4 linked regions of the Rhinolophus ferrumequinum genome follow. The protein of the gene in region 3 purifies or fractionates together with the protein of the main gene of each other region. This does not show direct contact. Links are inferred from orthologs where the notes say so. Each region holds a gene or a part of one and is shown on either strand. Other genes may lie near its edges. The genes, in order: CNOT8, TNRC6C, CNOT1 and TNKS1BP1.

Evidence for each region.
Region 1: the proteins of CNOT1 (region 3) and CNOT8 purify together in Homo sapiens (co-immunoprecipitation; 5 studies listed by BioGRID and IntAct, with this or other methods). This does not show direct contact. The link is inferred for Rhinolophus ferrumequinum from reciprocal best matches to the Homo sapiens genes CNOT1 and CNOT8.
Region 2: the proteins of CNOT1 (region 3) and TNRC6C purify together in Homo sapiens (co-immunoprecipitation; 4 studies listed by BioGRID and IntAct, with this or other methods). This does not show direct contact. The link is inferred for Rhinolophus ferrumequinum from reciprocal best matches to the Homo sapiens genes CNOT1 and TNRC6C.
Region 4: the proteins of CNOT1 (region 3) and TNKS1BP1 purify together in Homo sapiens (affinity purification with mass spectrometry; 5 studies listed by BioGRID and IntAct, with this or other methods). This does not show direct contact. The link is inferred for Rhinolophus ferrumequinum from reciprocal best matches to the Homo sapiens genes CNOT1 and TNKS1BP1.

The regions. Positions count from the first base shown.
Region 1 is NC_046307.1:25,680,777-25,688,486, forward strand, and holds the start of CNOT8 (CCR4-NOT transcription complex subunit 8), read left to right. Parts: upstream 1-4,702; 5' UTR 4,703-5,132; intron 5,133-6,367; coding exon of another isoform or gene 6,368-6,415; intron 6,416-7,710. UniProt on the Homo sapiens protein: Has 3'-5' poly(A) exoribonuclease activity for synthetic poly(A) RNA substrate. Its function seems to be partially redundant with that of CNOT7.
Region 2 is NC_046304.1:52,115,917-52,122,846, forward strand, and holds the start of TNRC6C (trinucleotide repeat-containing gene 6C protein), read left to right. Parts: upstream 1-3,922; 5' UTR 3,923-4,060; coding exon 4,061-6,440; intron 6,441-6,930. UniProt on the Homo sapiens protein: Plays a role in RNA-mediated gene silencing by micro-RNAs (miRNAs). Required for miRNA-dependent translational repression of complementary mRNAs by argonaute family proteins.
Region 3 is NC_046298.1:10,854,771-10,862,149, reverse strand, and holds the start of CNOT1 (CCR4-NOT transcription complex subunit 1), read left to right. Parts: upstream 1-4,366; 5' UTR 4,367-4,519; intron 4,520-7,379.
Region 4 is NC_046294.1:11,763,790-11,771,766, forward strand, and holds the start of TNKS1BP1 (182 kDa tankyrase-1-binding protein), read left to right. Parts: upstream 1-4,975; 5' UTR 4,976-5,129; intron 5,130-7,606; exon of another isoform or gene 7,607-7,744; intron 7,745-7,977. Other genes in the region: FACT complex subunit SSRP1, read left to right, coding at 1-10, 130-175, 1,592-1,721, 2,145-2,315, 2,468-2,556, 3,071-3,257, 3,529-3,600.

The sequences.
Region 1 (7,710 bases), on a different chromosome or scaffold from region 3:
CCAGCTTCTGCAGAATGCAACACCTTCCCTGTGTGGCTCTCCAGTGTAGACTGTGAGGTGTTGCTGTGCTAGGTGTGTATCTTGAGCTGCTGTGGCTTTGTGGTTAAGAGCATGAGCCCTGGCATCACAAAGCTTGAGTGTGAAGCACGGTTCTGCCTATGTCACATCTCAAAGCCTCCATTTCCTCATGTGAACCATGAAGGTTATTACAGTACTTGGCCTTGAAGATGTAAGCATCTGCCAGTGGTGCTGGGAAGGAGACTGCCCTGGTCTGACAGATTGGCTTGGCTCTTAACGGCCAAGCGTTGGCTTCGACACTTGGGATCCAGTCCACGCCCGCCAAGCTAGACCTGGAGGAAGCCCCCTGGATGGCTGGCCACTCTTGTCCCACGTGAGGGGGACTGTGAACCAGGCCAACAGCTCTGGTTCAAGAAGGGGCTTTGCGAAAGCTTGAGTCAAGGGCAGCATGTTTCGCCCATTCTGCTTTCTGGAGGGCTGGGCTGGGGCAGAATGCCCTGAGAACGGAGGTGATTCACCCCGGCGCCTGGGCAGATCATGGAAAGATGTTCTTCTCTGGGCAAGAAGCCAGGATGTGATTTGGGTGGAGCGGGCAAAGAACGTGGGTTGAAGAATCAACTTCTTCCTTGTTGGATAAGAAAAGTCTCCTGGAGGTTGTCAGAGCACCAAGCAGGTAAGGCAGGCTCAGGAAGCTCTGGGGCTCCCTTCCCGGGGCCACTCCTGGGCCAGGAAGGAGTTTGTCGCAAGCAGTGTCCAAGCCTCGTTTATCAGGGATAAACTAAGTACGATTGGTTGAATTGAGTAACTGGGAAGGAGGACCTGCTTGGAAAACAACCACCACTCACACATTCAGAATCCGTACTGTCCATCTGGTATAGGGAGTCCACCATTGTTTCCACAGCTATCTCCGTCACTCATGACAGCTGTCACCATGGTTTCAGCATCCGGCCATTGCTGTCCCTGCTCCCATGCCTGAGGGTGGAGCTGCCTGACATCTTCGGGACTCAGCCCACTGCCAGGCTGAGCCGATCATTTCTGTTCCTAAAATGCTGACCAGAGTGCTGGGGGGTAGCCAGGCAGCGACAGCGTGGGTCCACAACAGTGGTCTTGGCTGGTTGGCTCTGAGATTTGGGCCCAATTACTTCCTCCCTAACCTTCTAAAGCAGGGGAGCCTTGTACACCATAACTTGGCTCACCCTGGCCATAGTCTCAGGGGCCAGTGATGAGAATTTTGAGTGTGGCTTTAGTTCCTGCTTTCTGGGCTTTGACCAGGAGTTGCTGCAGCAACTTACCGGTTCATTCTTGCCAACCTGAATTCGGTAGCGGGCGATGAAGTTGGGTTTCCCAGTTGTGTCAACCACCAGTAGAAGCCCATTTAAGCCCCAGAAGCACAAACTGGGCACCTGGGTGGCAGCTAAAGTTGGAAAGCAGAAGAAGGTTGGTTGTTTAATCGGGGTGACTTCAGGTTCTCACAGCACATGGATTAACTGGACACACACTTGATGGTAACTGAGGCGGCACTGGGGACAGTCCCTTGCCACGGAGGTCTTGGTGCACAGGGCCAGGGGATCTACTTTTAGTCTTAGATGACAAACTAGCTGGGGGAACTTGAACAGTCACGTAAGGAGTGTCTCTACTTATTTTCTTAGTTGTAAAAGGGGGACAAGAATATTCTAGATGGTTGGAGACCCCCAAAAAGTATATGCTCTAAAATAGAAACGAATTTAGGTTGACAATTGGAAGTCCGTACCCACTGAATCCTTTATGAATTTCCATGGAAGGGAGAAGCAAAGGAAGTGCTTTGTATGTTATGGTTCACAGTGAGCCCTGAACTAGGAGTCAGTCAGGGAACCTACTGCCTGTCATCCTCCTAACTGAGCAGTGTGACTTCAGGTGTCCAGTCAGCATTTCCCAAAGCAGGAAACTCTCTCTCAAGGGGCTTCTTGGTTAAACAGCTTTTCTACCATACTGTCTTGCAGAGTCATGGTCGGGACTAGTGTGTTAACAGCTCTGAGAATTCCTGCAGCAAAGAAACTGTTTGACTTTGTTAAACTCAACCTTTCCCAGGCTTTTTTTTTTTTTTTTTGTAACCCCAGAACTCTTTTCTCAGAATACCTAATAGGATGGCCATGCATCTCTGTTTGCCCAGGACTATGTCGATTGACATCTGTCTTTCCAGTATAATTATTAACACCTCATTTACTCTCACAAATGTCCCTATTTGGATAATGTATTATATGGTCATCCCACAGCACTGTGTTCTGCAGGATGTATTAGCAAATACCGATCAAGACTTGACATTTAGAGAGCTTTTTGCCTCACATCCCATCTTCCCATGAAGTCATTCCAAGTATCGCTGATGTCCTACTGTGAACAAACAAGCACTTTGTCCACCCCAACTGGCAGTTAATCAAGTGACATCGCAATGTTACGTAACTCTTGTACTATTAACTTTCTTTGTCCATGTTTTCCCTCCTCTTAATTCATTATCCAAGGGACAAGGACATTTGACTTAACTCTGTGTCTCTGTGTCCCTCCTCCATCACCACACTGCCTTGTGGCAGTTGATTCCTGAAAAATACTTGGCCAGCACTGTGGGGAAATATGATTGGCACAAATATCCCAGAGGATACTAGTAGGAAATGAACTAAATAGATGAGAGTAATTACATACATTGGAATGGACTGGGCAGCTTAAAATGTTACGTAAATCTATATTAACTGACATGGAAAAGTGTCCACAATATATTTAACGAAAAAAAAAGTTTTAAAAAATTTGGTGTCTTATAAGTTCAACCATATATCCAGTTTAAGATCTGTATTAATATATTAACAGTGCTTACTTCTTGGATGGGAGAGAAGGGGTGCTTTTTCAGCTTTATGCTTATTTGAATTTTCTGGTTTTTATTTTAACAGTGAGCACGCATTTACTTTTATGTTCAGACATAACACACTTTAAATTGTTAGGTTTGTGGTTGCCTACTAGGAAATCCAAGGGTTCCTTGAGGAACACAAAATGCAAACCACAAAAAATGGTCTTGAACTTTCTTCAAGCTCTAACACTTAAAATTGCAAATACTTTTCTCTCTCTGATATTTTCTTATCACCTTGGTGACAGATAGTTTTCCCATCACTGTAACAGGAGTATATAGAATGTTTTCCTGCCACTTTCCCTATATACATTTGCAATCGGCATTATTCTTTTCAATGGCTACTTAAGATTGCATGGAACCTATTTATATTTAATTTTCAGAGTTGTCCTTCCAGCTGAAAACAATCGTCAGGGACATTTTATTTGTACTTTTGCTTTGTGACAACTGACCCTTTTTTATCTCCCCCTTTAGATTGTGACGTGGTTTTTTGATGGGATAGACTAACACTTTATCTTAAACATCTCTCTATCCTCGGTACAAATTTGGCACAGAGTAACATTAATAAATATCATTTGAATGAATAAATGTATGATTGAGGACAGTCAATATTGTAGATAATGCTGTTATAAATATGTTGAAATGGCTTTTGCTTCCACTATGTTTTCTTAGGCTTGTTTCAAGCCATTCATGCTGTCAGTAAATACTGAGTGACCACTTGCTGTCCAGCCTCCAAAGCTAGATGGCACCAGGTAGAAGGACACAGCCTCGCATGACATACAAGGGCTCTCTGCGCTTGTGGACCTGACATCTAGAAGCAGCATTACTGCTTGAAACATGCCTTTATTTTCACACAAACTATTTCTTGTTTTCATTTTTCTACTTTTGGGGAGAGGGCGATCTCCATTTCTCAACTTCTTTTCTTGGATAGCCTTGGACGTCTGTTCTAGATTGCCCACAAGCTTAGCAGTTTGGGGGTTACACTGTCTTAAACTTTAAATCCTTATTCCTTGTAATAATGAGCTGAGAGTCCCAAGGTAGAGAACAATAGAAAAAGAGTTAAACTATGATCACGTACGCAAACCCTAAGCCCTGGTGGTCTGGGAGGCTCACCTATTATGAAAAGGATCCACTCCTTTCCTTCAAATGTAGACAGCAACCTCTCCCACTCAGCTTGCCAGAAGTGGCCAGAAGCACCCCAAAATCTCTGAAGATGCCTTGAAAGGAAAATCAATCAGGTTTCTGGGTGAAGATTGATGGGCGGACAGCCCCTTACTTCACGCTTTGCCCCCAGACCACCACCACACTGTCCCCAGGTGCTGAATTCAAGCTGGTGGAGCAGACTCACCATGTGACTGAGTTCCAGAAGGCCACAAGCAAGAGAAGGCCAGAGCCCAGGATGAAAGCAGTCTTCCTCATGGAGCCCCAGATATGTCCCTCCTGGGGAGGATAAGAAAGTGTCAGGTCCCAGCTAGCCTCCTGCCTTCACTCACAGCTCACAGCTGAGGCCTGACAGGTGTGACAAGCAGTCAGGACCTCAAGCACGCGAGCATTGCACGTCAGTGACCTTTTCCCAGTTTCTGTGGGAGGCTCGTCCTTATCACGAGCTCTAGGGCTGTACATGGGTGTGTTTATGAAAACGAGAGGTCAAGGTTGGGAGAGGGAAAGGAACCAACCTGGCTCCAGAGACACTGGCAGGTAAGTCTGTCGCCCAGCCTTCCATCAGCTGTCTTCTTGTTGAACTGAGATGCCCAATTATGTACACATTGCAATCACCTGGGAGCTTTTTAAAAATCCAGGAGTCCAGGTCCCTCCCCAGCCCAAGGACATAGAGTGTTTGGGGTGGAGCCTGGGCCTCCAGGTTTTTAAAAGCACCCCAGCTAATTCCAATGGGCAGGCAAGGCTGAGACAGCCATCACAGAGAACCTGCAGAATCCGTCATGAGGACAGAGGGACTTCATTGTATTCAGGAGCCTGGCCTGTTTTCCCATCCCTATCACCCTCTTGCCCGTGAAGAAAAGAGTGAATGAACACACATGTTCTGCCTCTTAATGATCCCTCTGCCTTCCAGCGAGATCAGCCAACTGGACAGGACGATGAGCGGTTCTAAGGGCAAAGAACAGACCACTGGCAGTCGCTGGGAGGTCCTTCTCTGTTCTCCTCCAAGAGCCTAAAGTAGAGGTTATTGCAAGTGTGGTGCTCAAACGAGCTCCCAGACTTGGAGAAGGAAAACACTGGCCTCCAGGTGAGTCACGGGTTTCCCTGTGCCGTGGACAGGAACTACAAATGGCCCTCCCATCCTGTTTCTAAGCCCAGAGGAAGCCGTCCTGCTCAGGCTCTTCCATGGGACAGAACTGGAGGTGGCGGTGCTTATAGCTCTGTGCTGGGCTGACGTGTATTTAGGGAGCTGGGCCACTTACGAGGGGTCGGGGTGGTGTCGGGGTGGTGTCGAGGGGAGCTGATCAAACAGCACAGACACTACGTTTTAACCCAGACGTTTGAGATCTGAAGGAGCAGATTGTGTTGACTGACCCATTCAGAGCAGCCTGAATCTGCACTGAGTCATTTCTTCTTGGCCTGGCCTGTTCTACTCTTGATCAAAAGACCAAAAAGAAGGAGGTCATCTTCCATGGCCTGTGGAAAGTTTTTAAAGGGCTGGTGTTCATCTGGGTCTTGAGATCTAGAAATGAGCTTCTCTCTCCCTTGTCCCTCACCTTCTCCCTCTCCCTCCTCCCCGCTTCTTCCCTCCCTCTCCCTCAGGGCTGGATCCACAGGCCGATAGGAACTTGTTCTCTTACACAGGCCATTCAAAGGTCACCACCCCAAGCTTGTCAGGCAGGTTACCTTGGGCTTTTGAAATTATTCCTTTTCTTGGATTCAGAGGACCCTTTTCATGAACTTTTCCAAACTCACTAGGAAGTTTTCATTTGAGTTTAATCACATCAAGCTAAGTCAAGTTGAAATCCTCAATTTCACATACAGGATTAGATTTTTTTCAGGGATTATGGTGTTTTCTCTCCCTCCAGCACCCCAAGTGAAAGGACTATACACAGGACAAAGACCTCTGTGAAGTGCGGGAGCTCACAATGCAGAAGGCAGCTGAGCTGAGATCAAGAGTTGGTTCCCAGCCCCCAGTGGGCTTCTCTTGTCCCCAGGGCAGTGCTAGAAAGGTGTGGCTCCAAAGGCCCAAGGCATGGGACATTCTAAGGGCCAAGAGACCGTGGCAGGACAGCTATTGGGTTTTGCCACTACCCTCATGCAGGGCTGCTCCGTGGTGCAGAAAAAGGGGCTTTGGTTATAAAGCAGGTTGGGGTCAAGTGGTCTCAGCTCAGCTACTGAAATGAGCAAATCACCAAAGTGTCAGCTACCCCTAAACCCTGGGGGAGATGTCAGATGTGCAGCAAATGCAGCAAGCGCACACATGGAAAGAGTCACTGGCTAAATTCTCACCAGTTTGGTGGGTGGGGTGCTGGCATTTACCTGCTTAGGCTTCTCATCATGTAGCTTACTTCCAGCTTCTCCCTTCATCTGGAAAAAGAAAGCACAGTTGAGTCTGGATGTCATTTTTACACGCAACCAAGGGAATAGGAAAGTCAAGGGGAATGGCTAGCTGTGATTTTTAAAGCTGGCTACTCATTAAAACCACCTGGGCCCCACCTCCAGCGACTGAATTGCTCTGGGCATCGCTACTCTGAATCGGGGTTGGCAAGGGGACTTTGCCTGGAACTGGCTTTCTCAGGTATGGTCTGTGACAAATCTATTTTTTTTTTTTTAATAGCTTCACTCTGCCCCAGAACGACCTGTCTCATTCAGAAGAAATCTCTGTCCCCGGACCCCCCACTCTTCCCTAACTGCCAATAACCCGTGGCCCCAAGAAACCAGGACAGAAGCCAGGGCTCTGCCCCCTACCTACTTAGACAGCTTCCTTAACCTCTGTGAAGTCAGGTTACCACACATGGCCTGGATCTGTCATGCCGATTGAAATCGAAGCATTTTGCAAGCTGTTCAATGTGATTCAAACAACAGGTATATTTACAGGTAGAAATCATTAAGACAGGGAGCCTCAAAATCTGATACCTTTCTCAAGGCCATCTCTCCGTCGTGTCTGTCACTTACCGGTTTTGTGACCCAGGACTTTTTCAGTCTCTTCTTTATCACATTTCTTGGTATTCTTTTTAAGTGTTTTTGCAACAAACTTAAAGTGTTTCTACATATTTGAAATAACGCATGACTTTTCTGGGAAGGTGACAGCCTGCGACAGTGGCTGGGTTTGGTGGGCGGGCACTTGAGTTGCTGGACAGTTGACTTTATTGAGTATCCCACTACATATTTTATTACAAATCTTTAATAATTAAAAGTGTGTGGCTAGCCCATGAATAGGCAGACATATATTACAGATTAGAAAGTCCAGACATACACCTAAAAATATATATGGGAATTTAGTATATGATAAAGAGAAATCAATATAAATGGACTTTCAATTGAACAGATGTTGAACCTCCTCCATAAAGAGAAATGTGAATTAAAACTACAATAAAATATTACTTCTCATCCATGAGCATGGCAAACATCCAAAATTTTGACCACGTGCCCTGCTAGTGAAGCTAAGGGGACTTATTTGTATTTGTTCTTACACTTTTTACAAATAATCTGTATTGATACATAATTCACATGCCATACAACATATCCATTTAAAAGTGTACATTTACATGGCTTTTAGTATATTTACAGAGTTATGCACTCATCACAATTGATTTTAGAATATTTTCATCACCCAAGAGAGAAACCTGCACCCCCTCAGCCGCCATTTCCCATCCTCCTTT
Region 2 (6,930 bases), on a different chromosome or scaffold from region 3:
GAACTCCTTCAGCTTTTTCTTGTTTGGGAAGCTCCTTATCTGTGCTTCAATTCTAAATGACAGTCTTGCTGGGTAGAGCAATCTTGGTTGTAGGTCCTTGCTTTTCATCACTTTGAATATTTCCCGCCACTCCCTTCTTGCCTGCAAAATTTCTGTTGAAAAATCAGCTGCCAGTCTTATAGAGGATCCCTTGTAGGTAACTAAATGCTTTTCTCTTGCTGCTTTTAAGATTCTCTCTTTGTATTTAACCTTTGGCATTTTAATTATGATGTGTCTTGGTGTGGGCCTCTTTGGGTTCATCTTGTTTGGGATTCTCTGTGCTTCCTGGGCTTGTATGTCCATTTCCTTCACCAGGTTAGGGAAGTTTTCTGTCATTATTTCTTAAAATAGGTTTACAATTCCTTGATCTCTCTCTTCTCCTTCTGGTACCCCTATCATGCGAATGTTGGTATGCTTGATATTGTCCTAGAGACCCCTTAAACTCTCCTGAATTTTTTGGATTCCTTTTTTTTTTTTCTGTTCTAGTTGGGTGTTTTCTGCCACCTTCTACGTCGCTGGTTGGATTCTCTACTTCATCTAATCTACTGTTGATTCCCTGTGACATATTCTTCATTTCCGTTATTGTAGCCTTTATTTCTGACTGGTTCTTTTTTATGGTTTCCATCTCCATTTTTATGCCTCCTATCTCTCTGTTGAAGTTCTCATTGAGATCATTGAGCATTCTTATAACCAGTGTTTGGAACTCAGCATCTGATAGATTGCTTATCTCTGTTTCGCTTAGCTCTTTTTCTGGAGCTTTGTTCTGTTCTTTTATTTGGGACGTGTTTCTTTGTCTTCCCATTTTGGCTGCCCCCGTGTTTGTTTCTATGTATTAAGTAGGGCTGTTATATCTTCTGGTCTTAGTAGAGTAGCCTTCTGTAGTAGGTGTGCCATGGGGTTCAGTGGTGCAGTCTTTCTGATCACCTGAGCCACGTGCTCCAGGTGAATCCCTTGTGTGGGTTGTGTGCGCCCTCCTTTTGTAGTTGAGCCTTGGTTGATAATTGCACATCAGTGGGAGGGACTGACCCTCGGGCTCACTGGTTGTGAGGACTGGCCTTGACTCCAGTGGAAGGGTTATGCAGGGGCTGACCCTACAGAGCAGGAGCTGCCTTAGCAGGGCTCTGGTGCCTGTCCAATTTGCTCCTTGGGTGTGTCGTACTTGGAGGCGGCTGGGTGATGCTCCAGCTCGTTTTGAAGCTGGCCACTGGGGGCGCCAGCCCAAGGACCACCTCGGAGGGGATCGGCTGTAGGTCAAGTTCAGCCACAGCCCATGCCCCACCTGGGGCCACCCAGCGGGAGCCAGAAAGAAATCCTTATCGTCTGCCGCCCGTGCTCTACTTGGAAGCGCCTTGAGAGGCCAAGCCACAAACCAAGGCCGGCTGCCCCTAGTGCCGGCTTAGGGCTGCTCAGCCAGAGGTACAGGACACGCTCAAGCCAGATGCTACTTGTTTAGGTTCCACGAAAGTCTGCAGGTTGAGCCAAGGCTCAGGAGGTCTGCATGAAAAAGCCACTGAAAGCAGCCTGGGTGTGCCAGAATGTTGGGTGGGGTGGGGCGGGGCAGGACGGGTTGGGGTCTCAAATTGCCAGGGAGACTCAGGTGGGGAAGTAGGAGGGCTCGACAAAGAAACACTGGCCTCCACCAGCTCCCCTATCCCGGAGAAAGCCGCCTCTCCAGCCCCCGTCCCAAGCCAGACAACTCAGTTCCCCAACATTTGTTCCTGCTGCCTCTGCCCCAGCGCTGGAGCTCAGAGCAAGTGATTCCACTGGTGGGTAAGTCCGTGTGGTCCCTTTAACAGGAGTGCCTGGGAGTGCAGTCACACTGTCTCACTCAGTCACAATCTCCGCTGGTTTTCACAGCCAGAAATGATGGGGACTTCTCTCCCCGGCACTGGGACCCTGGGCTGGGGGGATGCCCACAGCCGAAATATCCCTCCCGATCTTTAATGGTCACACGTGGGTGAGGGACCAGCCCGTTCCACGTCTCTGCCCTTCCTACCAGTGTGGAGGTGGCTTCTTCTGCACGTCTCTAATTGAAAGGCTTCTGTTGTTTGATTTTAGGCGATTCTCAATAATGGTCGCTTTGTAGATTAGTTGTAATTTTGATGTGGTTGTGAGAAGGTGAGCTCAGCGTTTACCTACTGCGCCATCTTGGTTGTCGTCTCATTTATTTCTTTAATGTAGTTATTATATAAGCTGGTTTTTATAGTATGTACAAAACCAACAGGGAAAATTGTCATAAACCAGAGTTGCAGAGCCAACCCCTAATATTTGGTGATAAAAAACGTAGTTGTTTTATAGTACTTTTGATACTTAAAGTTTTCTGTTGCCTATCTCTGTTCCCCTTTGCAGAGTTCACCTGGAATACCTACCTACTTTAGAATTACCTAGGGCATAATTCTAAACTCATTACATTCCTTTTAAATCAGGCAACAAAAATTGTTTATTTGTGTTTGTTTTTAAGGTTGAAGTTAGCTTTAATATGTTCTTTCCAGTGATAGTGGTAATTCTTTACATACTTCTTTTTTTTTTTTAACTCCATCAAACTTTAAAAGAGATTTCTTTTGGGAAACTCAGTTTTACTCTCCATGAGTAAGCTTTTTCTTGTTAAAATAAATTTGAAGAGAACATAATGATGAAAAGGTTCTAAAAGAGAAGAAAACTTTTGTTGCAATTATCTGTATATCGTACTATGTAAAGAAACTGTCAAGGATTTCCAAATTGCGTGAGTTTGTTGTATGTACAGGTAACTTTATTTTTTTTTATATTTTTCATTTTTAAGGACACATACTTCAAATAAAGTCTGCTGGAAAATTCATTGGAATATAAGTTTGATTGCAGTGTTAGAAATACCCAAATAATTCGGAAATCGTAGGAGATAAAATGCAGGTACCAAATACTGAATTCTTTAAAAGGATAAGAGTGAAATGATATAAATACTTTAGGAAGATACATAAAATTATTCTGAGAATCTCCAAAGAAGAGACTGTAATTTAAGGAAATAGAAAGCAATTGTAGAAGGAATCCTTAGAGATCAAAGAAGGTACCAGATGTGGGGCTGAGAATATTCTTTGTTGATGCACAGGAAACAGTGATAAAGCATAATTGCTGGTAACAACAGGTGAAGTAGTATAAATGTCATTAAAGCTTTCTAACCTTTACTACCCTTGATAACATACGATAGCATTTTCTAATACCTTCTCTCTCTCCCTCCCCTGCCTCTCTCCCCCCATTCCTTCTTTCCCTCTCTCCCTGCCCATCTGTCCCCCACCCCCAAAACATTGGTCCTGTTATATGATTCTGCAAGGCATTTACAATCCCTGTCTACTAAATGAGCCGTGTAGCCTCTACACAATACTGTAACTCTTGAAGAGAACTACACATTGTATTGAGGCATCCATGTGAACTTCTTGTTGTTGCCAGTGTTTCCCAAAGATTTGGGGTATTTATAGGTGTTGTACAGTTGCATAAATTTCCGAAGTGCTATACATCGCGGTTACGGTTACGCAGCTGTCTGTGCTACAGATGCTTTCATAGCCTCTCATGTGCTAATGAGCATTGTGAATCTTCTCCGGAGGAGTGACAGTTTGGTGTGGTGGTAACAATTACTGTGATTTGAGAAGCGTTATCTCTGTTTTAAATGGGAGCTGTGAAGGGGACAAATAACTTTTCTTCAAGTCGTGTTTTAGCATTTGTCATTCAGAATTGAAACCTTGAAATAATGAGCTTCCCCCAAAGACTAACTAACAGTTGATTCATTGACAGATGGGAGGAAAATCTAATTTTGAATGTTTCGTCTTTTTCAGATCTCAGTCACAGTGGATTGGCAGATCATTATGAAAGTTCCCACTGGGGACAGCCGCCCACTTACAGAAGTGAAGCCAACTGCAGCTGGGATAAAGTGATAATAGATAGGACTGATAAGGAGGCGTGGCCTTCCATCACAGGAGCAGAGCCCGAATCTGCCTCAGAATGTACTACAGACACTGACTCTGCCTCCAACTGTGGCTCAGAGAACAGTAGCATGGCTACAGGGAGTGCCCAGGGCAGCTTCACTGGACATACCAAGAAGACAAATGGCAATAATGGCACCAACGGCGCACTCGTCCAAAGCCCTTCTAATCACAGTGCCCTTGGAGCAGGGGGAGCCAACGGCAACGGAAACGCAGCCAGAGTGTGGGGCGTAGCCACAGGCGCCAGCTCCGGCCTGGCTCACTGCTCTCTCAGCAGTGGGGATGGGAAAATGGACAACATGATTGGAGATGGGAGAAGTCAGAACTGCTGGGGCGCTTCCAACTCCAGTGCTGGCATTAATCTTAACCTTAATCCCAATGCCAACCCCGCTGCCTGGCCTGTACTGGGACATGAAGGAACTGTGGCGACAGGCAACCCTTCCAGTATTTGCAGTCCAGTCAGTGCCATAGGTCAAAACATGGGCACCCCGAATGGGACCCCAGCAGGCACTTTAGGTGCTTGGGGAAACTTGCTGCCGCCAGAGAGCACAGAACCACAAACGTCCACTTCTCAGAATGTGTCTTTCAGCGTACAACCTCAGAACCTTAACACTGACGGACCAAATAACACTAACCCCATGGACTCTTCCCCAAACCCTATCAATGCAATGCAGGCGAACGGACTGCCAAACTGGGGCATGGCCGTCGGCATGGGGGCCATCATCCCGCCCCCTCTGCAAGGCCTCGCTGGTGCTAACGGATCATCAGTTTCTCAAGTCAGTGGGGGTGGCGGTGAGGGACTCGGCAGTTCTGTGTGGGGACTGTCCCCAGGTAACCCTGCCGCAGGAAATAGCAATTCGGGGTTCAATCAGGGGAATGGAGACACTGTGAGCTCAGCATTAAGTGCTAAACAAAACGGATCCAGCAGTGCTGTGCAAAAGGAAGGAAATGGGACGAACGCCTGGGACTCGGGCCCTCCTGCTGGTCCTGGAATCCTCGCTTGGGGAAGGGGCAGTGGCAGCAATGGCATGGGTAATATCCATTCGGGAGCGTGGGGCCACCCCAGCCGAAGCACCTCGAACGGTGTGAATGGGGAGTGGGGCAAGCCCCCGAACCAGCATTCCAGTAGTGACATCAGTGGGAAAGGATCAACAGGGTGGGACAGTCCTAGTGTCAGCAGCCAGAACCCTGCCATGCAGCCTGGCAGTGAACACATGAACTCTTGGGCCAAAGCTGCGTCTTCTGCAACCACCGCCAGTGAAGGCAGCAGCGACGGTTCTGGCAGTTACAATGAAGGAAGCACGGGGAGGGAGGGGGCGGAAGGCCGAAGGCGGGACAAGGGGATTACAGACCAAGGGCACATCCAGCTGCCAAGGAACGATCTCGACCCAAGAGTTCTGTCTAATACTGGATGGGGACAGACTCCAGTAAAGCAAAACACTGCCTGGGAATTTGAAGAATCCCCGAGGTCGGAGAGGAAAAATGACAATGGGACAGAGGCCTGGGGTTGTGCAGCTACTCAGCCTTCAAACTCAGGGGGGAAGAACGATGGGTCCATCATGAACAGTACAAATACCTCTTCAGTATCTGGGTGGGTCAGCTCCCCGCCTGCTGCTGCGCCAGCAAACACAGGTTGGGGAGACAGCAGCAACAAAGCGCCAAACGGCCCAGGGGTTTGGGGGGACTCGATAAGCTCTACTGCTGTCACTAATGCTGCTGCTGCCAAGAGTGGCCACGCTTGGAGTGGGACCGTAAGTCAGGAGGACAAGTCGCCCACCTGGGGTGAGCCTCAGAAGCCCAAATCTCAAAACTGGGGAGATGGACAGAAATCAAATCCCGCCTGGAGTGCTGGAGGGGGGGATTGGGCAGACTCGTCTTCTGTCCTTGGACACTTGGGGGATGGGAAAAAAAATGCCTCTGGATGGGATGCTGACAGCAATCGATCAGGGTCTGGTTGGAATGACGCTACAAGGTCTGGGACCAGTGGCTGGGGCAGCGGCACAAATGCAAAGGTGAATCCAGGGACAAACTGGGGAGAGTCTTTAAAACCTGGCCCCCAACAGAACTGGGCGAGCAAACCCCAGGACAACAGCGTGAGTAACTGGGGAGGAGCCGCTTCCGTTAAACAGACAGGAGCAGGGTGGATCGGGGGGCCGGTCCCCATCAAACAGAAGGACAGCAGCGAGGCCACGGGCTGGGAAGAACCTTCTCCGCCATCCATTCGCCGCAAAATGGAAATTGATGATGGTACCTCAGCTTGGGGTGACCCAAGCAACTACAACAACAAAACTGTAAACATGTGGGACAGGAACAACCCGGGCATCCAGGGCAGCACGGCGGTCACCACCGCTGCCGCCACCACCACGAGTAACAACACGAGCGTGGTCGAGACGCCGCCGCCACCGCTCCAGGCCAGCGCCCAGCTGAACCGGTCGCCGCTGCTCGGTCCAGGTACGGGATGTGCTTTCTATTATTTAAAAGTTAAAAAGCATTTATAGTCATCAGACTCGTGTTTTCACAGCAGATGGCATTAAGTGCCCTTCACCGTGTAGAATTAAAGCAGGATTCCCTGAAAGCGCTCTATCCAAGAAAAAAATATCTTAAGCACTTTTCAATGGAAAGGAGAAGGAAGAAGCAATAAATGCATCCTCTTCAGGAAAGACGGGGGACCGTTGTGTTAGTCTGTGTTCACTTAGAGTCTCCATTTCTTTATGAGATAAACCAGTGGTGCTCAGCCCCGGCTCTCGTGGGAATTACCTGGGAGCATGGGGCAGGGAGTACGTACTGACCTCAGAGGAGGTTTCTCGTATCACCCGTCTGGAGGGAAGCCCGTCCGCTGGTGGGTCTTAAAGCTCCACGGGTGTTTCTGATGTGTGGTTAACACTGAAATAAAACCATTCTTGTAAAACGTGAATGGCGTTATACAAGTCATGTTTTTATT
Region 3 (7,379 bases):
ACACAAATAAAACATCCTCTTGGTAAAAAGTTCGAATACATAGTATAGTAATATATGGAATAAAAAGCAAAAGTTCGCTTTACCCTTCCTCATTCCACTTCACTCCCCAGGGATAACCATTGGTGTCAGTTATGATGTGTGTGTGTGTGTGTGTGTGTGTGTGTGTGTGTGTGTGTGTATCTTTCCAAAACCTTTTTTGCATTTAGTTATATGTAGATATAGACAGTTATTTTCTCCTACACAAATGGTAACATACAGATTATGCCATCGCTTTTTTTTCTGGTCACTTAAATTTTGTATTTAACAATATATCTTGGAATCATTTCATAACAGTACATATAGATTTACCTCATTCTTTTAAAAAGAGTTCATAGCATTCCACCGTATGACAATACCATACATTTATTTAACCTCTTCCGTATTGTTTCCAATCTTTTGGAGCCTCATAAACAATGCAGCAGTGGATATCTTTTTTTTTTTTTTTTTTGGTCAAAATTCACTTTGTTTTTTAACTTTATTTCATCGGAATGGGATAACAAAATTGGCACACAAAGGACACTGATACTGGGCCTAATTACAGAAAATGCCTCCAGATAAGTGGTAGGAAGATGAAAGAAACAAAAATAAACAAAGAAATTGGAGTTTTCAGAAAGTGAGTTCTGGGCCCGCCTGGTAGCTGGGGTGGTTGGAGCGCGGTGCTCCTAACACCGAGGTTGCCAGTTTGATTCACAAATGGGCCAGGGAATTGCGCCCTCTACAGCTAAGATTGTGAACAATAGCTCTTCCTGGAGCTGGGCTGGCGCAAGCTGCCACGGAGCTGTGTCCTACACAACTAGACTGAGAAACAATGGCTTGAACCAGAGTGGGGCGGGGGAGGGGGGGAAGAAGGGGGGAAAAAAAAACGAAAGTGAATTCAAATGTTAGTTCTGCCACAATCTATGACTGGAGATGAGTTGTCCTGTCTAAGCCTGTTTTCTCCTCTGTCATTGGATTTGAGATCACTCACTTTACCACTTTAACAGTCTGAACCAGTCTTTTGTCACTGGTATGTCCCTTTTTGGCCATGTGACACCACACTGGTCCAGGCTAAGGAGAGAAGGCCACAGTGGTTGAGTTGCTTTGAGGATCTGGACTTGGCTCAATAAAACCACTTGGTTTGCTCAGATCGGGCAGCCTGGGCCCAAAGCTGGGCCTGACAGTCTGGTGACACCACACCTAAACCTTAGGTACCAGGGAACAGAGGGATGAGGAAGGATCAGCACCAATTCTGGAGTGAGGAACCCAATGAAAATAGAGCTCTCCAATTCTGGTTCTAATTTTTCTACCCAGGCTGTTTTAAATCAGGTTCTTCCCAAATGAAAAAGATCTCAACTCTTATGCAACCTGTTCTCCCCCATCTTTTTAAAAATCTTTTTGTTTTGACAAACTTGTAAGAAATCAAGACAGCTTTTCCATAGGTGATGCCTCTTGGACCTTCATCTCCCTGATTGCCATTCTCCCATAACTAAATGCAAACTCTCCCAGGACTGTGCTTTGTCTTCCCAGTGTCCCAAATGCTCAATATGCTTACAGTAGATGCTGTTGAACAGGTGAATAATCCCCTCACCTGGACTGAAAGGCCGTGTGTGTGGGGAGGGGAGAGGGGTGAATGCTGATGACAAACCCTGGAATTAAGGTGAGACTCCTCATGAGTGAATATCTTGATACATTCATTCACCTCTGTACAAATTTGCAATATTCACTTGCAGAATAAATGTCTAGATATGGGATTATTGGGTCGGTGGGTCTGTGCATTTTCAATTTTGATAAACTTGGTCAAAATGGCTGCTATCCATAGAGGTTTTTAGCAATTTTTTACAGCAGCATTGAAAAGAAGGACCTTATTCCTCATCCTTGGTCTGTTAAAGAGGCCTTTTCTATCACTAACATTGTAATTCTATAAAGCTACTTCTCTGTTTCCTGATATTTCAGCACTTATTTGCTCATGTCTGCCATGTGCCAGGCACTGTGCTAGGTGCTGGGAATACAGCTCGGAACAAGACTAAAGCAATCCTTGTCCTTGCTGTATGTGAGGTCCTGAGTCTCATTCAGTTGCTTGAAAACACGAGACACGCAGTAAATGTTTGCTGAAAGAGTTGGCCTCGAACCAAGGAAAAGCAGGTGTCAAAAAGTACTTTTAGGTGAAATAAGCCAGTCACAAAAAGACAAATAGTGCATAATTCCACTCATATGAGATATTTCAAGCAGTCAAAATCTTAGAAAGTAGAATGGTGGTTGTCAGGGACTGAGGGAGGAAACGAGTTGTTTATGGGTATAGAATTTTAGTTTTGCAATATGAAACGGTCTAGAGGTCAGTCGCACACCAATATGCATCTAATTGACACCAACGTATGGTACACTTAAAAATGGTTAAGATGGTAAATTTTGTTACCTGTTTTTACCACAATAATAATAATAAAGTATGTTTAGGCACAAAAGGTAGTGCTTCTGAGCTTAGCCTCAAAACGGGGTGATGAGGAAGACACTTGATTTTTTATTTTTTAACAGGACTTTATTGGGGAACAGTGTGTACTTCCAGGACTTTTTTCCAAGTCAAGTTGCTGTCCTTTCAGTCTTAGTTGTGGAGGGCGCAGCTCAGCTCCAGGTCCAGTTGCCGTTGTTAGTTGCAGGGGGCGCAGCCCACCATCTCTTGCACGACTCTAGGAGTCTAACTGGCAACCTTGTGGTTGAGAGTCCACTGGCCCATGTGGGAATCGAACCAGCAGCCTTCGGCGTTAGGAGCATGGAGCTCCAACTGCCTGAGCCACTGGGCCTGCCCAAGATACGTTTTTTTTTTGAAAGGTAAAAGTGCCAACCAGTCAATGCTTCCTTTCCAGTGCTCCCGTCCTCCTCTGGGAACAGATGAGCATAAAATCTTATCATCTACTATAGAAAATACATTCTAGGGCCAGCCTGGTGGCTAAGGTGGTTGGAACACCGTGCTCCTAAAGCCGAGGTCACTGGCTTGATTCCCACATGGGCCAGTGAGCTGCGCCCTAGGTCTACAGCTAAGATTGTGAACAATGGCTCTCCCTGGAGCTGCGCTGCTGTGAGCAGCTGGAGGTTGGCATAAGCTGCTGTTGGCTGCTGTGTGTGCTGCCCTAAGCTACCGTGAGTCACCAGGAGTGGCCAGCAGCCACCATGAGTGGCCAGCAGCCAGAGTGAGTGGTCGGCAGCCAGCGTGAGCAGCCGGCAGCCAGTGAGAGCTGCCAGTGAGCTGCTGTGAGTGGCCCACCATAACCAGCGACTGGCTGCCTCAGCAAGGGGTGGGGGAGTGCAAGGCTCATAATACCAGCATGGGCAGAGGAGCTGTGTTCTACACAACTAGACTGAGAAACAAAGCTTGAACCAGAGTGGGGGCGGGGAGGCGGAAGAAAGGCGGGGGAATAAAAGAAAATACATTATAGAAAAAGATATGTTTCTATGTTTTTTCTCCCAAGAACAAATGGCACTGGTATCCTTTCTGGTACCGCTTACAAGGCATAAACCAAACGAGAATTTTAGCTTCCTATCTCTCTTTTAGGGGTCCCCTCTTCAACAAGTAGAATGAGAAGAAAAAGTTGTCTTGATGAAAGTGAGGCAAGCTAGGACCCAGTGGGGCCTGAGAGACTACATTCTCCAGCATGCACTGCTCCTCCCCGGGCGCAGTAAGTGACGGGAAAAGACGCATTACTTCTGCGACAGGAATGGGCCGGAGGGAGAGGAATACTGCATATCCCGGGACGCAGAACGTCGCCCTTCTAGTTACGGACTGGCTTGCTTTCTGATGGCTGGCGTTCCCCGCCAAAGGGACGCGAGGGTAGGGGGATGTTTAAGATTGGGAAGCCCCCCAGTCTACTGGACTTGACAAGTGGAAAGAGAAAGGAGTGAAGGAAGGCTGTTCCAGTATAATTCAAAGTAGTTCCCGCGCAGAGTGGCGAGGATTTATGGGGCCCCCTTCCTTATTTATTGTTTCTCAGAGGCAATGCCAGTCCCACGGCCCACAATGGTGAAAGACCTCCAGGGCAGGTGGGAAGTCCGTGAAGCCCCAAATCGAAGTTATCTGCGTCTCCCCATTGGCCTTCGCTCGGGCGCAGGCGCAAGGGCTCTGACTCCAGTCCCTAGGGACGGGAAAGCGGCAATTGGCCAAAGCCCTCGAAGTAGGACTCCGGATTGGTAGTTGCTAGCAGGAGCTTGGTTTCTTCCTTGACTTCTGCAAGTGATAGTGTGTGATTGGTTTAAATCCGCGGGCACCTAACGGTGATTGGGCGGGTGCCACGGGCGGGGTACGATCATTGGCTGGTGCTAGGACCAGCCCTCCTCGGGCGGGCAGCGAATGATGAAATGAGAACGGGGAGGGGAAAGGCCGCGACGTGAGCGCGCGACCTCCGGCGCCATTTTGTAGAGAAACAAGCGGAGTTAACCGAAGGAGGGGGTCGAGGAGAGCCGGAGTCGGGGACCCAGGAGTTTCCTGTGTCCAGCGCTGCCGGAGCCGCCTGAGGTGAGGTGGGCTAAGGCCGGCTGGCGGTGTCAGCTACGGAACGCGGGTGCTGAGGGGGGAAGGACTGGGGGTAGTAGTCCCGGGGCCACTGGGAGCGTTTACCGGAGCTCCGCGGAGTGAGGGGCGGTCGGGACGGGGAAGTGGCGAGACGGGAGAGGTCGGACTCTCTCCCCCTGGCTGGCGGAGTGTTTGGGCTGCGAAGAGAAGAGGCCAGGGCGAAGGCTCCCCAAAGCAGAGGGCAGAGCGCGGGGTGAGACCTGGTGGCCCTCGGCCCGGGCCTGGAGACTCTGAGGGCGACGGTGGCGGTAATACAGACGGCAGGGCCTCACTTCGCGCGGGCTGCACCCTCCTCAGACCCCACGAGCTCCTCAACTGCCTCTTTCTCCCTGGGCTCTCGGATAGGTGCAGTGGGCATTGGCCCCCGAGGCCTAGATCCTGGGGCGAGGGGACTGTGTTTGGAGTAGTTGCAGGCTCCCAGTTCTTTCCCGTCGACTTGGGAGCTGCCAGTCCCCCTCCCCCCGCCCCCAGCACGTTGTCAAACCCCGGGTGTTTCGGGTCCCTGCGGGTGGGAGGGGCGGGCGGGAGCGAGCACTTCCTTATTACTTCTGCCACAGGTTTTGTTCCACTCGCGCGCCCGCGGCTCACACTTTCTCCGAAGTTGGCCCCCACCCACTTGGTCCAGTGTCTGTGCTAAAGTGGCCGTTGTGCTCACCCATGGGAAGTGTCCCCCTAGTGAGCTGAGCCCTTGGAGGCCACGATACTGGTGAGAGATTTACTACAGGTCTTGGTAGGGTTGCCGAAGGCCAAACAATATTGAAATTTCACAGACTGAAGTGTCCTTTTTAAGTACCACCTCCTCCGCAGAATTCACCTAACCGGGCTCACACAGATAATTGCCACCACGAGGAGTAAGCTTTCTGGGTTAAAAACAGAAAATGCTTGATAACGGTGTTTGAAAATGTGTTTAAACTTGGAGGAGTAAACTTTTCCCCTGAAGTCACTCAATGAACTGTCACATTTCTCAGGTCTCTTAAAGTCAGTTTTCTTCCTGAAAGCTGAGTAATAATACTTAATCTCCACCTTCCATTATTTATAATTCGATTGCCTTGAGGGATTTATGTTAACAGTGAGTAAATAATTAAGAGAATATAATTTCAGTATTTTTTGCAAAAAAAATTTCGAGCATTTCCCTATGACAGTCTGATAGGAATGGATGAAAAAACGGGAGGACAAGTAAAAAATTTGGAAGTAGGTGAAACAGGTTAAGAAGAAACTTGTTTTTGTAGACATATTTGGTTTTAATGTTAGTGATCTGTGGCCCAGGTTGACATTTCTACCCTTCCAAAGATTGGCAGTATAGTATTTTAGCTGTTAATAATATATATATGGTAACAGTTTAAATAATCATGTTTTAGGAGACTGCATATTGTTACCTTGTCTAAGGAGAAAATGAGCTGATGATACATAAAGTTTTAGACCTCTAGTTGTGCTCTGAAATGGTAGCTTCTTGATAAAACTTGTTTGGAGAGTTTGTCCCTTTTCAACAAGTGTGGATCCCAAGTCCTATAGTAGAAACTTAAGTTTAGAATCAAGGCACAAAGACTTGACCATTAATAACTGAAAGTGTTTCCCTTTCTTGCCTAAGATTGTAATCTTAGAAGTTTTAAGTCAGAAGTTTTGAGGCATGGTGGAACAACTGAAATACTCTATTTCTAGTCACTAAATTTCTGTGAGGGTTTAAATCCTGTCTCTTTAACATGGATCTTGTCAGGCTAAGTACTGTGATATCCTCCTGACTTTGGGTTAGAGCATTGAAAACAAAACAAACCTGTGGGGACAGAAGAGGAAATGCTTGCTATCTCATCAAAACATGCTTAAAGACTAATGTCATTATTCTTGCATGTTGCTTTTTCCAAGTATGTTTTTGGTTAGATTCTGGTTTAGTTAGGAAAAGCTTTCCTTTTAACCAGCTTAAATTTATGAACTGGAATCTTTACTTCATTCTACAAAGTAACAGATCTTTGGCACTCAGTGCCCCAGAAGGGAATTTGTCCACAATGATTATAATTGAATGCTCATATATTTTAAGACACTAATTTTTTTTGTTAGATGCCTGTGCTTCTTGAATTAACAAGTATTGTAGCCCGTCATTTTGAAACACTATATTTTATGAATGTGGTATATTCTTTTATGAAAGAACAAAACTAACTTTCAAGTCATTGAAAAATATTAGCCAAGCATTTCTTAAATGGCCCTCTCACCAAACTGAACTTGCTGCTGGGAAGTTTCAAAATGGCATCCCACTGATTCTTATTTTAAGACCTTATACTGTATATAGAAAAATCCTGCAGTTCCCTTTTCTGTTTGCTTACAGTTTTTAAGAAGCCTGTTTCAAAATTAAAATGGCCTCAAATCCTTTTGTCCTGTGTATACACAATAGTTTATTTCAATGTACTTTTCACATATACCTTTGTAAGGGTGTAGTAAAGCAAATAAAACATATTGTTCATTGAAAAGCATTGTTTGAGATGTCAGTAATTAGAGGTGTAGACTTAATCTGAAATCCTCTGTTGAGATTGAAGAAAAAGCAGCTTTTGGGAGTGTAGACTTGAAGAAATGTGCTTCCGTTTTCTTTTTAATTTTTTATTTTTTCAATTGGGGAGCATTGTGTTTTACCAGGACCCATCATCTCCAAGTCAAGTCGCTGTTTTTTCAGTCTAGTTTTTTTTTGGTTGGGGGGGGGGGGGAGAGCGCATCCCACTGGGCCATGTGGGAATCACACCCTTGACCTTGGTGTTGTGAGCACTGCGCTCTAACCATTGAGTGAACCGCTCTAACCATTGAGTGAACCGGCTGCCCT
Region 4 (7,977 bases), on a different chromosome or scaffold from region 3:
GAGGAAACCGGTGGGCTCGCCTCGGCCGTGCCCGGGCATGGGGTGGTCAGACGGTCCAGGTCTGGGTATCTGGGTGAGGGGGCAGGGTTTCCATGGCACACAACTGATGCCTTCTGTGTCGTTTTCCAGATGAGTCGTTTAACCCAGGTGAAGAGGAGGAAGACTTGGCAGAGGAGTGAGTTTTGGTTCCACCTTATGGGGGTGACGTGATGGCCTCTGAGCTTAAAGGACCAGAGATTTCTGGACATCTTTTGTGTCCCAGCATTACTACTGACCCAGGGTGGAAAAGTGACCTCCAGTGAGGTGATAGATGGAAATGCTTCAAAAATCAAATCGTCAAGCACTTTGTAAGTGCACGGCATGTTGTGAAGCCAGAGAAGTATAGTGGGGAGAGACTGGGGATGAGAGCCACTGCCCCACTTAACTTGCCGGAGTCCTTGGGTCCATCATTGAATCTCAGCGTTTTCAACTGTAAAACGACAATAGTGCCCCCGTGCTGTGTTGATCAAGACTCTTGATAGCCAGTGTCAGAAATAGGACTTGAACGGACTGTAGCTTAAAAGGGGATTTTGTAGGCTCATGTAACGAGAGTCCAGGGGTGTGACTGGCTTCAGGCACCTGGATCAGGCACTCAGCAGCTGTGGGGAATCTTTCTCTTTCTTCTGATTTCCCTATTTTCTGGTAGGTTTGCCCCATGCAGTGCCAGATGACCCTCAGAAGCTCTGGGCAGGCTTAATCCTACTCGTTTAACACCCAGGAATGCTTCTGCGCTCAGAGCAGCAGTAAGCAGCGTGGTTACGTGGCCCTTCCCAAGTGTGAGTTATGACGATACGCTCTGAGGGGCTAGAACTAGGCCGTGTGCCCACGGCCTGTGGTGGGGTTGGCCCCTTCTGCATGGGGCGTGGTGGTTCCCAACAGAAAGTTGGGACTCTGAATCCAGAAGAACTCAGAATGAATGTTGGGCAGGAAAAAGAAGAAAATCTATAGGAGTCCACTACTTCTGGGCGCCACGTGCTTGTTCATAGTGAGTCTGTGAGTTAAAGGCTTATGAAAGGGAGAACCATTGAGCACCGTGTGGTTTGGGCAGTTCTGTTTTCTGAGGAGTCCTGTGTGTGTCCGGTAGGACTGTGACAACATCAGTGCAGGCTGGGTTGGAGTGGAGTTGGTTTTTTCCCACTTTTTATAGTAACTGTCTCTTGATCAGAGAGACTAAGGGTAGAGTAAGAGGAGTAACCCGGAGTCGTGAGGTGGACTTGGACATGTTGCTGAGACCGTTTCTGTCCCCGTTCCCGGGAGCATGGGGATGGAGGAGGCCTTGGGTTAGGCTGTGACCAAGGGGAGCAGATGAAGTCTGTTTGCTTTTCTTTGACTGATTGACCAAATAACCCATTGCTATAGCTGGGTCTGGAGAGGGCATGGTTGAAGCCACCTCAGCGAAGGGCAGGAAGAGTTGGGGATGCTGGTGGAGGCGGCCCTGTGGTCCTCCCGCCCCCATTTCTGGGTGGGTGTCTTTGGACTCCTTTCCTGCTTTGAGACCATGGGGTGCCATCCTCTGTCCCTGAGTGAGTCTAAGCCCCACTCTCCTTGGCAGGTTTGATAGCAACGCCTCTGCCAGCTCCTCCAGTAATGAGGGTGACAGTGACCGAGATGAGAAGAAACGGAAACAGCTTAAAAAGGCCAAGATAGCCAAGGATCGCAAGAGCCGCAAGAAGCCTGTGGAGGTGCTGCTTCTCCTGAATGGGAGGGTGCTGGGGTGCTGCTCCCTGTTCTCCCGTCCACCACCCTTAGGGCCTGTGGGTTGGGGCTGCTTTTTGTAGCCAGTGATTAGGGCCTTGAGGAGTAGCTTCTTGCAAATATTTCTCTCTAGTCCTTGAGATAATTAGCTTCTGGGAGTTCTGACCTAGGAGACGGGCTTCTTTTGTCCTGGGAGCCCAAAAGAAAGGGGCCCCTAATGAGCTAGGTACTGGCGTGCAGAGGGGAGGAAGACGTGGTCCCTGCCCTTAGGGAGCTCCTAGGCAGCTTGATGCAGTTTAGTCCTTGCTCTGTTTTGTCCCTAGGTAGGGGATCCAAGTAATTTCTTTGGGAGAATGTGAGGGAGAATGTGGGCTATAGTGCTGAAGGCCTTTGGGTTCTTTCTTGTGTAGGTAAAGAAGGGCAAAGACCCCAATGCCCCCAAGAGGCCCATGTCTGCCTACATGCTGTGGCTCAACGCCAGCCGAGAGAAGATCAAGTCAGACCATCCGGGCATCAGCATCACGGATCTTTCCAAGAAAGCAGGCGAGATCTGGAAGGGGATGTCCAAAGAGAAGAAGGAGGTGAGTACCAGCAGAGACGAGGGGTGGTAAATCTTGTAACTGGTAGAGGGGGTGGAGGGCCCTGGTGGAACTTCTGTATAGGTTTTGCCTGTGTCAGGGAACAATCTAATTCTTCTCTTCCCCACCCCCCGACCCCTGTGTGTGTGGGACAGGAGTGGGATCGCAAGGCTGAGGATGCCAGGAGGGAATATGAAAAAGCCATGAAAGAATATGAAGGGGGCCGGGGTGAGTCTTCTAAGAGGTGAGTGTTGGGAACAGAATGTCCCAGTAACTGCTTTTTTGACAGATATTTTTTGCAGGTCCAAGTTGAGAACTGGGAAGTTAAATATAACAGAGATGCTTCTGACTTCAGTAGGACAGTGCTTCTCAAACCTGGGTAGGCAGTTGCCCAGTATGGGTACTGTGCTAGAGAGTTTCTGAAGTCGCTGGATAAATATGGCCCATTTTCCTAGAGGGTCAATTTTATTTGAAGGTACGGGGTAGCTAAAAATATATATGTTACTATGGTGCCTAATTCATACGAATTTTTACGATAAAGCAAGAGATGTCAAGTTAAGTTTTGCATATAACCAGGCTGTGAGGCCTGATTCTTCTTGTTCTTCACTTATGATGCTCTCTCTTGGGGCACTTGGGCTGACATGGCTGGCTGATGACACGAGATGGGCAGTGTGGCTGGGACTGGGAAAGGCCCTGGTAAAGCTGGGGGAGGTTTGACCTTGATGATGGGGAAACCTTTTCCCTCTTGCTAATAATAGGGACAAGTCAAAGAAGAAGAAAAAAGTAAAGGCAAAGATGGAAAAGAAGTCAGTGCCCTCTAGGGGCTCGTCATCCAAGTCGTCGTCAAGGCAGCTGAGTGAGAGTTTCAAGAGCAAAGAGTTTGTGTCCAGTGACGAGAGCTCTTCAGGAGAGAACAAGAGCAAAAAGAAGAGAAGGCAGAGTGAGGTGTGGCAGGAGTTTGGGGGTTGTGGGGCTTGGAAGGGTGAAGGGCATCTGAATTGGTATGGGGGGTGGCAGCAGGTGCTTCTGCACCAGGGATTGTGGTTGGTCCATAGCAGTAATGGGATGGAATGGATAGGTGGAATTCTGGGGTTCTGAAGACTAGTGTTGGACGTTAGGGAACGGTAGGGAATTAGGGGCCCTTCACCACTGACAAGTGGCTGGGAGGGCAGCCGGGACTCTCCACCTTTCCCCTAAAGAGACGTTTCATTTTCAGGACTCTGAAGAAGAGGAATTAGCCAGTACTCCCCCCAGCTCAGAAGACTCGCCGTCAGGATCTGATGAGTAGAGAGGAGGAAAACACTCTCTCCTTGGGCTTGCCCTGTCCCACCCGACTCCCCACTCATGTTTTGGTACCAGTTTCTCATATGAAGTGTAGTCTTTGGATTCTGTGCCATCTGAACAAGCTCTTCTGGTGGTGTGCACTTGGCTGGGACAGCAGGGGAGGCGTCTTCCTGGGTTGCTGCTTCACGAAGATGCCTCTTCATAACTGGGGGAGAGATTGGGTGGGAGGCAGGGCAGTGCAGGTTCCAAATCCTCGCCCTACTTTCCCGACCTTAGGGATATAGCTGCTGCTTGTCCTGTTCAAGTTGCTGCAGCTGGGGTCGTGTGAGGTCAGGCCTGTAGCTCCTAACGGGGGCCAATTTCTACTTTAATTTTGTATTTCTGGTTCTGTGAAAATCATTTAATAAAGGGAACTGACTTTGGAAACCATGTCCTTATGCCTCCTCTCTAGCCCTGTTGTATTGCGCCCACTTTTCTTGGTGGTGTTTACCACACTGCTGTGACTGGGCAGGCCTTGCTGGCCAGCTGGGAAGCAAGTCTCCAGGTACATCCTGTTCTGTTCCCGGCTGGACAAGCATTGGTTTTCACCCTCTTCAGCAGGGATGGGCCACCTGAGAGTCTAGAAATGAGAGCTGATCTGATTAGGAAGTCTCTCTCACAGCTCCACTCCATTAGCCAAGCTAAGGAGAGGCAGCTACTGGCTCCATCCTTAATCACCTATGAGTCAAGGGTCTTCAAGGCTTTAGATAATGGAATCAGGATTGACTGGCCTCTCTGCAACCAAGACACTGGAAACCTGATCCTGGAGAGTTGGGACGATGAGTGGTGTGGGGGTGGAGGTAGCTTTTGTTTTTATATGAAAAAGGGTATATCAAATTTTGAGGTCAGGAAGAATTTATATCTGGGAAGGGAGCATAACGAGATAAATAAGGAGTAGTGAGGGAAATAGAGCTTCCAGTCTTCCTCACTGTGGCTCCAAATCTGAATTTACACACGTGGGGTGGCCACGTTGGGTAGGCTCTAAGGTGCTTGCCACAGAAAGCCTCCGCAGTCGGCCAAGGGTTACCTTCTTTCTCGCCGCGACTCTATGGTACTGCGATCAGTTCAGGCCGTTGGGCCTGAGAATCGGGCCGTCAGCTTAAGTCTCCTCTCTAGGCAGTCGTCTCGGTGGCCATTTTGCCCCAGCGTTTTTAGCGGCTGAATTGCGTCAGTTTTACCCGGGTCTGAGGCTGGGGCGGGCCCCTCATTTGCAAGATTCATGAATAATTGAGTACCTGGGCTGCTGCTATTTGCATACGGTCAGGCGAGTTCTGCACGGGCTTCCCACTCCGGGTTTTCACTGTCTCATGGATATTCATGAAGCGCCCTAGGGGTGTGGGCCTGGGCGGAGCTGGGGCGGAGCTGAGGGCGGGGCCCCGCCGGGGCCCGCTCTGGCTTGGTCCCCGGTGACGGCGGCAGCAGCGGCGGCGGTGGCGGAGACTGGCGTCGGGGTGCCGAGCCCGAGCCGAGCGGAGCCGGATCCCGGGGGAGCGCGTGAGTGCGCGGGGGCGGGCAGGAGGGCGAAGGAGGGGGCGGGGTCCGGGATTGGGGCGGGGGAGAAGCATGGAGGGAGTGGGTGCTTTTCAGCCGGGACCTCGGGTTAAGGTGGAAGGGGGGTGAACGGGAAAGTTTGCAGGGGCCGGGGGCGCGGGGGAAACCGGGGACACGCGGGAGCTGGCGCATGTGCGCGAGGCCGGAAGGTGCACGGTCTGGAGCTCGTGCTGGCCGATCCAGAAGAAAGGGGGGAGGGGGCGAGGGCTTGAGGCGGGGCCGGGGGCGGGCGGAACTGCTGGAGGGACCCCTGCCTCCCCCTTCCCCAGGGCCCGCGCTAGCCCCCTCCCTCGGCTCCCTCGGCACGCCCCCAGCCACCCCAGTCCGCCCCCACTCGGTCTGCGTCCTCAGTCCCCCGTCTGTTCGCCGGCTGCTTCACATTCTGCGTACAGGTCCTCCCGTTCTGCCACCCCCTTCTCCTCCTCCACCCTCTCCTCCTCTTCTTCGGCTGCTGCCATCCCCTCTGTGTCCAGAGCTCCCCACTGGGCCTCTCCAGAAGGCCCCTCGCCCCAGGCTGTTCCGTCTTCCCGTTGGCCCTCCCTCTTCCAGCAGTTTACGTGCTGCCCCTGCCTACCTCTCTGGCCCTGGATCCGCTGGAGATCCCAGGGACCGTAGAGGCGACCCCGCCTGCGCGGATGCCTCTCGGGGCCCCTGTCCCGGGCAGGAGCTGCCTGGCCTCTCCGCAGCCCTTGTGGCAGCCTTTGCTCCTGGGGGTCAGATAGGCCCCCCCTGACTCCTGGAGGTTGCAGGGAGTGCTCAGAGCCGCTGTGATTCTGCAGCTTTTGGCAACGGCCTTGATCACCTGCGTTTCCTGGCTGGGGCCTCGGAGCTGCTGTGGCCCCTCCTCAGTTGGGGAAGCTGAGCCCCCACTTCATTGCTGCACCCCCTCATACTGCAGAGGTGCCCATCAGGCTCCCAGGTGAAAGAGTTTTTCAGTTCTGGGCCAGTTTGTCCGCATTTCTAACCACCTACACCATGTCCCTTGTGATAATGTTCAAGGACAAGGAAACAATCTTGTGTTTTAATTTTATTTTTTCTATCATGTGCCCTTCCCCCATGCACTCTTGGGCTGGCTGTGCAGTTAGTTACTTACCCACCCACAGTGAGCAGTCCTCTGTGGAAGGTGGTTGACCAAGGGAATTGATGGTCCTGGGTTTCTCTCTACTTAGCTCTTCATACTCTCTGCCATCTTTGAAGCAACTTGGGGCAGGGTCAGAGGAGAGGGGTGGGCGAGTTTTGCAAATGTTGGGCATCAGAAGGCCTTTCTTAGGAGTTGGTGCTGTTTTCCCAGACCAGCTGCAGTGGGTGACTTTGAGGAAGGCAGTGCCCATTGGGTTGTCCTCAAGGGCTCTGTGCATACCAGGTGATAGGAAATGTCCTTCTTCCTTTGTGACAAGAGGGGCAGTACTTTGTCCCCCAGGCTGCAAAGCCTGGGGTGCGGGTGTTGTGGGTGGGATGGTGCTCCAGCAGCCAGGATGAGAACTAAGGAGGTGGTGGAGTGTCTGAAGGTGACATAACTGGGACCTGTGTGAGTGAGGGAATGGTCTGGGGAGAGGAGGTGGTGGTTACCAAGGATTTTAGCTCATTGGTGACACCGAATGGAATTGTACTAATAATTGCCAATATTTATTGGGCACTTATTATGTGCTGGGCGTTATGCTAAGCAGTTTGCATGCATCAACTGCCATAAACCTCCCAACAGTCTCAGTAACTCCATTTGTCACATAGGGAAACTGAGGCTTGGAGAAGTAAGTGCTGTGCCTAAGGGCACACAGCTAGAAAGTGGTAGACCTACCCAATATTGAATCCTCGCATATCAGAACCTGAAGCTTGTTCCTGGTACTGGCTTATTCGGTTTCTACCATAGGGCTGTGTCACTTGGTTTAAAATTTCTTGTGCTCCCTCAAAACTCCTCAGGCCAACCCTAGGCTGGTGAAGGCTGCCCATAGGCTGTGGCTGTCCCATCCTCACTGTCCTAGAAGGGGGAACCCCGGAGTGTTTTCCCCCAAGCCACCCCACTCCCGGATGTTCTCAAGCCTCAAGCCTTGTCCCATTCTCCCAGCCCAGGCCTGGGCCGGCTCCTCCTTCCTCTTGGCTCCGCTCTGGAAATCCAGTGGGAGGCCATTGCTATGGCAACAGGACTAGGCCCTGGCTTTACCTCATCAAATTCCAAGCTGAAGCCAAAGCGATTGAGAAATTAAAGAAAAAAATGTATTCCAGATGTTTACTTCTTATTCCTTATTTTTCCGTGTTTGGATGAGACAGCTCTGAGGGAAGCGGGAGTTGGGCAGGGATATGGAAGGAGGAGGGGGGAGGGGGGAAGAGGGAAAGAGGGAACCACTCCCAGCTGCAGGAGGGAGGGAGGGAGGGAGGGAAGGAGGGTGAGCGGAAAGGGGGAGGCTGGCAGTGGGGCGGAGCCCCAGGTTGGGGAGGAGCGGGTTTTTCCCGTCTCCCATGAGGTGATTCACTGAAAGACTAAGACTTTGGGGCCCTCTTGCTCTGCCCCTGAGTATATACCTCAGGTGGGGCTGCTGGACCCAAGGGGTACCCTGGGAACGGTAAGTGGGGTATCTTAGCTCACCAGAGGAGGAAAGAATAGGTAGCTACCTGAAACTTCAGGACTTTGGGGTTCGGGGGCCAGAGCTGGAGAGGAATCTGGGAAGAGTTGAGGATATGGCAGCTGGGGACCTCCCTCGACCTCCCTCATCCCCTCTGAAGTTCCCTCTTCCTGTCCCACACTCTGCCTCAGCTAGGAGTAGGAGACTTCCCTCGACCACGCTTACTGCCAGCG